Linked DNA regions of Drosophila melanogaster. The protein of the gene in region 1 interacts with the protein of each later gene in a pairwise test. Each region holds a gene or a part of one and is shown on either strand. Other genes may lie near its edges.

Region 1 (4,674 bases):
CTTGTTCTTGGTTTGATCCATTAGTTCTTTGAGTTTCTCGTTGAAACGCTGCATCAACTTCTGGGGATCATCCACTCGGGGGACCTAAAAAAGCCACTGTATTAGGAGCAAGAACAAATGTGGGTTAGGTGGCTTACCTCATAGTTCTGTGAGACATAGATTCCCGTATACACCCCGGCGCCAAAAGTTAACTGGAATGGAGAAAGGAGGATTATTAGAGTGGGTTGTGAAAATCTTCCTGAAGATGTCTATTTCGCATGCTGACCGTCGAGAAACATATTACTCGCTTGAAAGTCCAAAAGCGTTTTTTGGGACAGCACGGCAATGGCTGGCGAACTTCCGGTGGGCAAGTTTTCGCAGAGCGACTCTGCCCGCCAGTTTTGAGCCTCAAAACCTGCGCCCCAAGTCCAAGCAGTTTCATTTTAACTTCCAGTCTATATAAACGATCAATTTGGTGAGGCCTGTGTTGTTTTTCAAAGAGTCCGAATCTGTTTACTCATGGCTTGAGCGGTCATGGTCGACATAATTTCCAACGACTAGGTGATTATTTTATTTTTGTGGATATTTGAATTTGTGAGGCCTTATATAACGTTGAACCAAAAGTCACTTATGTATGTATTCAAACAGCGCACACTGGGAAGTAAACTCAAATTGAACCAATTTTGGAATCTATTTAACTGGTGTTTTGGCGCACTTTCTACCGTTTTACCAATCCACTCTTGTTTTATCCGAGCAAGAATATTTTGAATTTTGCTTAAACTTTTAATACTATTTTTTTATTTGTTGAAGTTAGATATTGGGAAGGTATTTTCAAATGTATTACATTTTGTCATTTATATTAATCATTAATATTTAATCAAATAATTGGTTTTGATTTTGAACCCCTAGACAACACATTTCACCACTGTGCAGGGGCGCGTCATCGCCGCGAAAAGCAACACAACCACAAAAACCACAGAAAAGTTGTATCTCGTATCTGATATGATTTCAGGTGTGAATCATAAACTTAAAAACATCAGGAAACCGGAAAACTTACCAGAAACTTGAGCATAGTGGAATAGTTAAAGGAGCCTTTGTCACCCGCAGCCGCCAGCGTGAGAGTCTTAGCAAAAGTGAGAGAATGTGAAAAAGAAACGTCAAACGACGCTGCTTCGGCGCTTCGTCTGCAGCTGCTCGGAATCTGAAAACAGCTGACTGGCCCACTGCGATTTGTGTTTGTATGGTTAGGTAATCGTATTTGGCTGACTCTGATAACTATGGAGTTAAGTTACTGCCTTTCGAGCACTGAACTTTTACTTCAATTTATGTACATGCATATGCATATGTATTAACAATTATTAGTTTGCGGTCACCGACGACGAGCTCCTCGGTGGACGGGCGTAAGTGAAACTGAAACAAGGGCAATCGCAATTAAAAACTGAACGCAAAACGGCCAAAAATAAAACATGTTGGTGGATGCCGCCTTCTCTAATATACATATGCACATATTTACATATTGAAGTGCCTCTGCTACGGTTTTTACCGTTTCCTAGTGCCCTTTTTTAATCAACCGCCAAAGCGCTAGACGGTTTTCAACACTACCACCAACGACCGTAATTCGGATACATTTTGTCCCCAAATCTCAAATTCCCAGGAACTGCACTTGAACAGCAGGGTGTTGTTCGTGTCATGGAAAATCCACTTTATGTAAAACATGCTTTTTGGATGGACGAACTGTGATTTAATTGTACTATTAAGGCTATATGTCTTTACAACGATTCAATTGCACTGACCACGACTATAAACTACATTTTATGACTACATTAGGCCAAGACCGCGGGGCGGGTCTTCAAGTAGACGAACAGCACCAGAAAGACCGCCAAAACGCCGAGCGCCGGCAGCACCACGGTGCGGATCTTCGCCTGGGTCTCCAGGTTGTCCAGCTTGCGCTCCTTCTTCTGTTTGCGCGTCTCCTTCACCTTTCCCTTCAGCTGGCGCATCTTTATCACTGATAGTTTTTGCGATAGTTCCTTTAATCTGGTGACGTGTAACACTCGTCGGAATGTGTGTGCGTGGAGCAACAAAACAGAGAGCTGGCCTTCTTTCGTTCAACAAGTTGTTTCTGGGCCAAAGAAGAAGAAGAAACGTTCGACTGGGCTGGCTAAAAGCAGGCAGCTTTTGACTGTCGACAGTGCTGCTTATTTCATGCAGTTTCTGGTCGGGTTACTCTGATGACACGTCCGGCCGACTAGTGTTGAACAATGTCTCTGGGACGGAAGCGCGCGTTTAAAAAAGTCTTTATAATTAAATAACGCATTTCATAAGTTAGAAAGCCATCAATTAACCTGGGGCTGTATTTGCCTCCATCTGAACATAAAAATGTCGTAGCAAGTTGTACAAAATTCACTTGCCAGTCAATAGTGAATACTTTATTTACCCAAACAAAATATAAAATAAATATAGTTTAAAAGAAAATAAAGCCGACTGAATAAATTTTTGACTGCAGGCGAAAGTCAAAAACGTATATGCATATATGTGAGTATAGACGTTGTCCAAAGATAACGAAACAACGATACATTACAATAAATATTACAAAATTCTTGCAACGAATAAAATCTCACTCGAATTTAGTCAGATTAAAAGTAAATCGTAGTCAAAATATTTGAATGTTTTTCTATCTGCTTCAGAGGTATTTTTTTATACCAAGCATCGAAAATTCGAAAGAGTACCTTTTACTAGTAATTGAAAGTTTTCTATTATTCAAAAATGATATTTATACATTATTATAGCTATTGGTTTTGGGTTGGTTTTTGTCAATGCTGCACAGCTTCTGTTCTTCCTCAGGCGGTACTAAACGGAGGCGGAGAGAACCGCGTTTCAATTTTGCTTTGTATTGACCGCTGGCATGGCGCTGCGGAAGAATCTAACCCATATTTTTCTTTAACTGGCCTGCCGCCCCTTTAAGCCCTTTAACTGCACCCGAGGCCGTCGAAACAAGATACGCCAGCAACTGTTGCACCTTCACCTCTGAATGCGATTTCGAAAATGTTTGAGCAGTTCGCAATACTCCCAGGGGTCGGGTCTATGCCACGCAGTCACTGCTTGGGCTTCTGCCGCGAGTGCTGGACACTATGGATATTGTGGACACCGGACGTGCTGGATAAGCTGGCCGCTGCACACTTGATGAAGCAATAACAATGCAGACCGCTGGCCGGCAACCGTGGCCGAGTGGCCAATCAGTCGGGACGCACTGCCAAGTTTGTGCATTGGTAATGAAGCCTGGCGAGCCAACGCACATTTCGGCATCTAATTTTGCCCATTACCATAAACGGCAACCCGATCAGTTTGGACACGGATTATTGGCAACTATTTAGCCGGCCCCTAAAGGCCTAGACCTGCCAGCCCGGGCGAGTCCTCACGTTACATACAGATTGGCCTCAATGCGCACGCGGCTGTCCGAAAGTCGTGTTCCCGTCCAGGTCCAATCTTAGTTTCCTGGTTCTGGCCAGCGCTTACACGACCATCATACACGGCCTGTTCGTTAGCTCGCTGGCCAGCTATGTGTGATGGCCAGTCCGCTGATTGGCCAGGCCGCCGTCCGTCAGCCCGGTCCACCTGTCCGTCCTTGGGGCCGGGAGACCAACTCTTAGCTAAACCCCTTGTTTTGATTGCCAACTCGTAAAATGATGGATTACCGAGTTGGGATTTATTTCTTGTTACGGTCATAATAGATTATCGTTGCTCACTCATTGTCAGAGCTGCCCCCCCCCCCCCCCCCGAGCCACCTCTATCTAAACGGCAAGCAGCCAGAATTGCTGTCTTCGGAGGATTTGGCGTTTTGATGGAGCATGGCTTCGTCGAATGGCCTCCGATCGCACTATTCGAATGATCAAACGAACAATTAAACGCAAGTACCACAGGCAACTTAGAAGTAATTTTAGTGGTAGCACTTCTTAATTTACAAACAAGCTAGGATCGAAGTTAAAATGTAATACGCAATGCACTTCTAACCATCTGGCCTATGTTCAGGATACGAGTAGGATTTGTTAACAAATAGCCGAGGGTTGTCATGCTACGCAAATAACAAATGTACTCATTCTAAGCCACTCATATGTTGAAAGTTTTCTTCAATAAACCACAATATATTTGATGTGAATTTCGAACTAGACATTGATCATTGATCATTTATTTCTCGAATTTGCCAACACTAGGTAATCACTAATCACTGTGTAATTCTTGTATTTTGAACACCAAAATATAAGTAACGAAATGGGAAAAACATCAATAAGGGGCATTCAGATTCTTTCGTAAGCAGTTAGCTATTTTATTTGGGCCCAAATGGAGTTTTTTAGAGCGAATAACAAAAACTAGATCGAAAACATTCTTGATCAGGATGGTAAATTATGTTATACAACAGAAACACATATCAACGGGAGATAAGATAAATGTACCAATTAAAGAAAAATTGAAACACTTGTATTGTATATTGTATATTGTATATTGTATATTTATTGTTATTACTCTGAAACAACCTGAATCTTATCGCTCTTATAATTTCAGATATGTCGACGTTCATACGGACAGATGGACATATGTATGTTTGGACATATGTATGGGATTACTGTCTGTGTGGAACAGGTCAGGTTTAACAATTAAAGTTATATAAGTTAACTAAGACGTTATAAATCCTTTTTT
Region 2 (4,423 bases), on another chromosome or scaffold:
ACTTTAGGCCGCAAACCTCCTGCGTGTGTCCGGACAATGTGGAAAGCTTGTGCTCACGTGCACGCACATCGTGGTGGACAATGGTGCCATCCCGGCTGCCAGAGGAAACCAGGAATGAGTTCCAGGCCAAGGATCCCACTCGGGCACTGTGTCCATCCATCACTCGCAGACGCTTCACTTTGGAGCAGTCCCACAGCTCCACGGCACCGGTGCTGTTGCCGATGGCAAGTATCTGCCCCTCCTGGATCCACGATAGCGAGCCTGCGTAGTCGCCCTCCTCAAACTCCGTAAGCTGCTCGATATTTCCGGTCTGTGCGTTCCACAAATAGACGCAACTGCCCAAGGCCACAGCCACTATATTGTCGGCACTCCAATCCATAAGATTTAAATCTGGAAGAGATCAATAGTAGAAAAAAAGAAAAGAAAAGTTTTCTTCGACCTACAGTAATCGTTAATAAAATCAGGTGCATCCAGAATCCTCTCGGATGTGGTGGGTATATAGCGTGAGCCACTCTTTGTGGATATGGGTGTCTTAATGGAGTACACGACCTTCAGGGGATTGTTGTGTGTTTCTGGAGCAGCGGGAGCCTTGTTTTGGTAGCACAAAATGCGCCCGCCCTTGGAGTCACCGACCTGGGCCACTTCAGAGATGAGTTTCTGCCGGTCGCCCTTGTGAGCCGAAGCCTGGACATTGCTCTCGTTGCTGTTGCTCGAGGTGGCCTTGTCGTTCTCCTCATCGGACTTATCGCCGGAGTCTTTGTTCACCTAATAGATGGTCAGGTGGTCAATAAATTCTTAAGGGGTCTGGAATAAGGATGCCCTTACAGGGCGGGATGGAGGGATGAGTGGAATCCTTACCAGAAAGTGTGCTAACTCAAAGTTGGTAGCCGCCCGATTCGGAATAAAGCGATCTCCGCCTCCTGGCGTCTTAGAGGGCGTGGTGTTGGACTTCTTGGTCTTGCCCTCGCTGCTCTTGCCCGGAGTTTTCGTGGGCGCCTGGACACCCGAGAAACTGGTGTTGTACGAGACGGATAGCACCGACCGAGTGGTATTCACACTTCCATTTAGAGACGCCTCCAGCTTCTTCTTCCACCTGGGCGCAGGTCCGCGCGTCTCGCCGTCCATGATGAGAGCATTCTGCAAATCGCTCACAAAATTGAACTGCGACATTGTGTTCCGCTCTTTTCTGGTGTCAGTTGATTATCGAATTTATTTATTTATTATTATTAAAAAACAGAAGCTCATAGAACACTTGGATCGAATTTTTTCCAGATTTCGAGATGCAACACAAATGGCGGTTCGATTTGGAAATGTAGTGTGACCGCATCGGCTAACTGTTAGTGGTATTTTTTGTGCGTAGAGAAAATTACCAGAGAATTAAAATTAATACAAAACATTATAATTCGTTAGAAATTAAAATTGCTTCTTTAAATGAAATTATATTTGATTTATAATGGATAGCTGATTATTTATTAGCCTCATTTGCAATGTGACCGTACATCTGTGCTGCCTGATCGTTTAGATTAGTGCATCCCTGGCGCACAGCTGTCATCATCGCCGCCCTTGTAAAAAAAAAACAAGTGAGTCCCAGCGCTACAATTGCAAAGCCGAATTTTACGATAATAATTAGCAAGTCACTTTGATTAGCACCTGGAAGACGTGCTCCAGCGATTTTACAAGATGGCCTTCAACTTCACCGCCTTCACGTACATAGTGGCCCTGATCGGGGATGCATTCTTGATATTTTTCGCCATATTTCATGTCATTGCATTCGACGAACTTAAAACGGATTATAAGAACCCAATTGATCAGTGCAATAGCCTCAATCCGGTCAGTAAACTTACTGCTTACACCCGCAGTGCGCCCTGTAATGTATGTGTTTGCATTTCAGCTGGTTTTGCCCGAATACCTTCTGCACATCTTTCTGAACTTGCTCTTCTTGTTCTGCGGCGAATGGTTTTCGCTATGCATCAACATACCCCTCATAGCCTATCATATTTGGCGGTAAGTGACTCATTTGACCGTGTGATATAATGTGATTTGAGATCCGAGGAGATCAAGATTCACCCAAGCCCAACATAAGCACCCTTAAGCACTCATGCTTTGTAATACCCCTATCGCTTTCAGTTACAAAAACCGCCCTGTGATGTCGGGACCCGGACTTTATGATCCCACCACGGTCCTGAAAACCGATACTTTGTACCGGAACATGCGTGAGGGTTGGATTAAACTGGCCGTCTATCTGATTAGCTTCTTCTACTACATATACGGGTAAGTCTAATTGAGATTCATTGTGGCCAGGGTCCTCATTTGTCTAACGTTTCTAATTGCTAATTTTAGCATGGTTTATTCGCTCATCTCGACATAGGCAAGCTCTTGCCTGGGGATCTCAGTGTTGGCGCCAACGCATCAGCGTCGTGTATTAGTTGTCTAAACTCGGGTAGAGGACTTCCTTTTTTGGGGAAGAGTCCCCATCAACCGCGAACAATACTTCACTTGTAAATTCTAGTGTAAATCCATAAAGACATCTTGAAGCTTTGTTTTTTTCATACAATTTGTAATACTTTTCTGCAGTAAGAGATTGTAACATGTTTTTATTTTGATTATTTTTTGCATATCGCATCTTTGGTGTAGTTGGATTTTAAGCATTAAATAAAAGTCAAATCAATGTAACCAATTTTCATTTTTCTGTTTAGCATGAGGGACAGCGGAATTTTTGGCTAAACACGACGAACATGGAGCAACGAGCACTTAAGATAATAAAGATTATGAAAGGGCACTTAAACCTTATCAGCAGGGCAAACATAGATATAGTCTCTCTCCAATTTGATACTTGCATTACACGTTTTCTAAGGTAATATACAAGTTTCTTACATCAGCAAACATATTTATCATTCGGCTTTATATTTTGGAAATTATATTTAATTTTAGAGCTTCCATTAGAATGGAAAAATTCACCAAAGAACCACATGCTAAAATAAATGTATTTTGCTTTAGAACGTATTTATAACTTTATTTTACAATCGTTTCGGGAGGCCACAGCTTGGAATAAACAATATTGTGATTGAATCTTGATTAAAATAAAAAGCTGTATACATGGATAGGTACATGGGGCTTTTAATGGGCAACTGGCGTTTGATTACGACATAAAAACAACGAAGAACAAGAAGAAGAATATGAGAACGCCGAAGATTTTGATCATCAGCCAGCGATTTTTGGAGACGGATTGAAAGTATTTCAAGATCTCCCCATGGGCAGCCTCAATATTCAATTCCGCATCCGCCACATTCGTGTCAATACGCTCCACGATCTCTTCCTGCTCCTTAACCATATGTGCCAGCTGCTGGAATATTCCGCCGAGCTCAACGATGGTAGATTCTATATTTTGCATGGTCTCCGCCCGCTGCTGGACGTAATTATCGGAATCATCGTAGATGGCCATCTGTGTCTGGGTTGATAGGAGTGGTGTGGTATCGCTGCTCCCCATATCTATGCTGACCGCTTGGTTTTCCTCGCTGAGAAGCAAAGATCCCTGCTTGGCTGTCGAGGGGGAGACGGTGTGCGCGGCCAACGGACCTGGTCCCTGGCTAAACTGATCACGTCGCGTCTTCTGCTGCTTGAGGTTCTCCGTGCGCACCTCCAGGATTTGCTTGAAGTCCGTGCTCATGCTGGCCAGTTTCGATTGCAGGGCCAGTACCATGTTAGAGGAATGTGACACCAAATGCTTGCCGTTTGTGTGACGCCGCTGATCCTTGGAGATGTCCTGCAGTCGGGCAATTTGTTGATTTAAGGCATTTAGGTCGCCTTTGATGATATAGGTCAGCTCCTGAATCTCCTGCGGTCTGTCATCAAATAAGCTCTTCTTTTTGGCCACTAAAACGAAGATGGGAATTTTAAAGTTTTGAATATGACTTTAAGGGGTTACTAAAACATGTACTTACACATTGTGAGCTTCTCCAGTTTTGCGTAGGTGCTGGCTATGTTCTTGCCAATAAACCTGGCGACCATCATGAACTCCGAGTAGCTCTGAACCTGCTTAGCTTTGCGGGGATCGCGTATATTCACTGCCCGGGTGATATTTCGAGCCTGCAGGGAACGAATCGCATTGGCGAACTCGCCCGTTCGATCGCGTGCGGCCATGACGAATATTTCTGGTTCGGGTTCCGTTTCCTGCGGCTCCTCCTTCGATTGGTAAAACTGTGAACTAGTCGGAATGGAAGCGGGGTAGCTATAGTTGCTTTGGCTATCGTTATTGATGCCCGGTTGATTGCCGGTGACCACGGCGGCAGCGGCACTTAAAGTGCGCAGTGCGTGGCCCGAGAAGGCGCGTAGGTTCCACTGGCGGGCCGCCTTGCCGTACTTGTCGTCGGAGTAATCGGGAGTGGAAATGGAATCGCCCGACTGGTAGTTGTCTCCAATGTGG

The links.
Region 2: the proteins of CG33169 (region 1) and cni interact in a two-hybrid assay, tested with the Drosophila melanogaster proteins (one large-scale study listed by BioGRID).

Annotation. Positions count from the first base shown.
Region 1 is NT_037436.4:22,861,288-22,865,961, reverse strand, and holds CG33169 (uncharacterized protein), read right to left. Parts: upstream 2,099-4,674; 5' UTR 1,980-2,098; coding exon 1,803-1,979; 3' UTR 1,466-1,802; downstream 1-1,465. Other genes in the region: CG33170 (uncharacterized protein), read right to left, coding at 1-84, 138-191, 266-421.
Region 2 is NT_033779.5:16,307,848-16,312,270, reverse strand, and holds cni (cornichon), read left to right. Parts: upstream 1-1,544; 5' UTR 1,545-1,580; exon of another isoform or gene 1,581-1,630; 5' UTR 1,631-1,680; coding exon 1,681-1,830; intron 1,831-1,891; coding exon 1,892-2,004; intron 2,005-2,127; coding exon 2,128-2,271; intron 2,272-2,340; coding exon 2,341-2,368; 3' UTR 2,369-2,979; downstream 2,980-4,423. Other genes in the region: fzy (fizzy), read right to left, coding at 1-390, 444-765, 859-1,170; Syx5 (syntaxin 5), read right to left, coding at 3,140-3,873, 3,942-4,423. UniProt on the Drosophila melanogaster protein: Acts as a cargo receptor necessary for the transportation of gurken (grk) to a transitional endoplasmic reticulum (tER) site and promotes its incorporation into coat protein complex II (COPII) vesicles.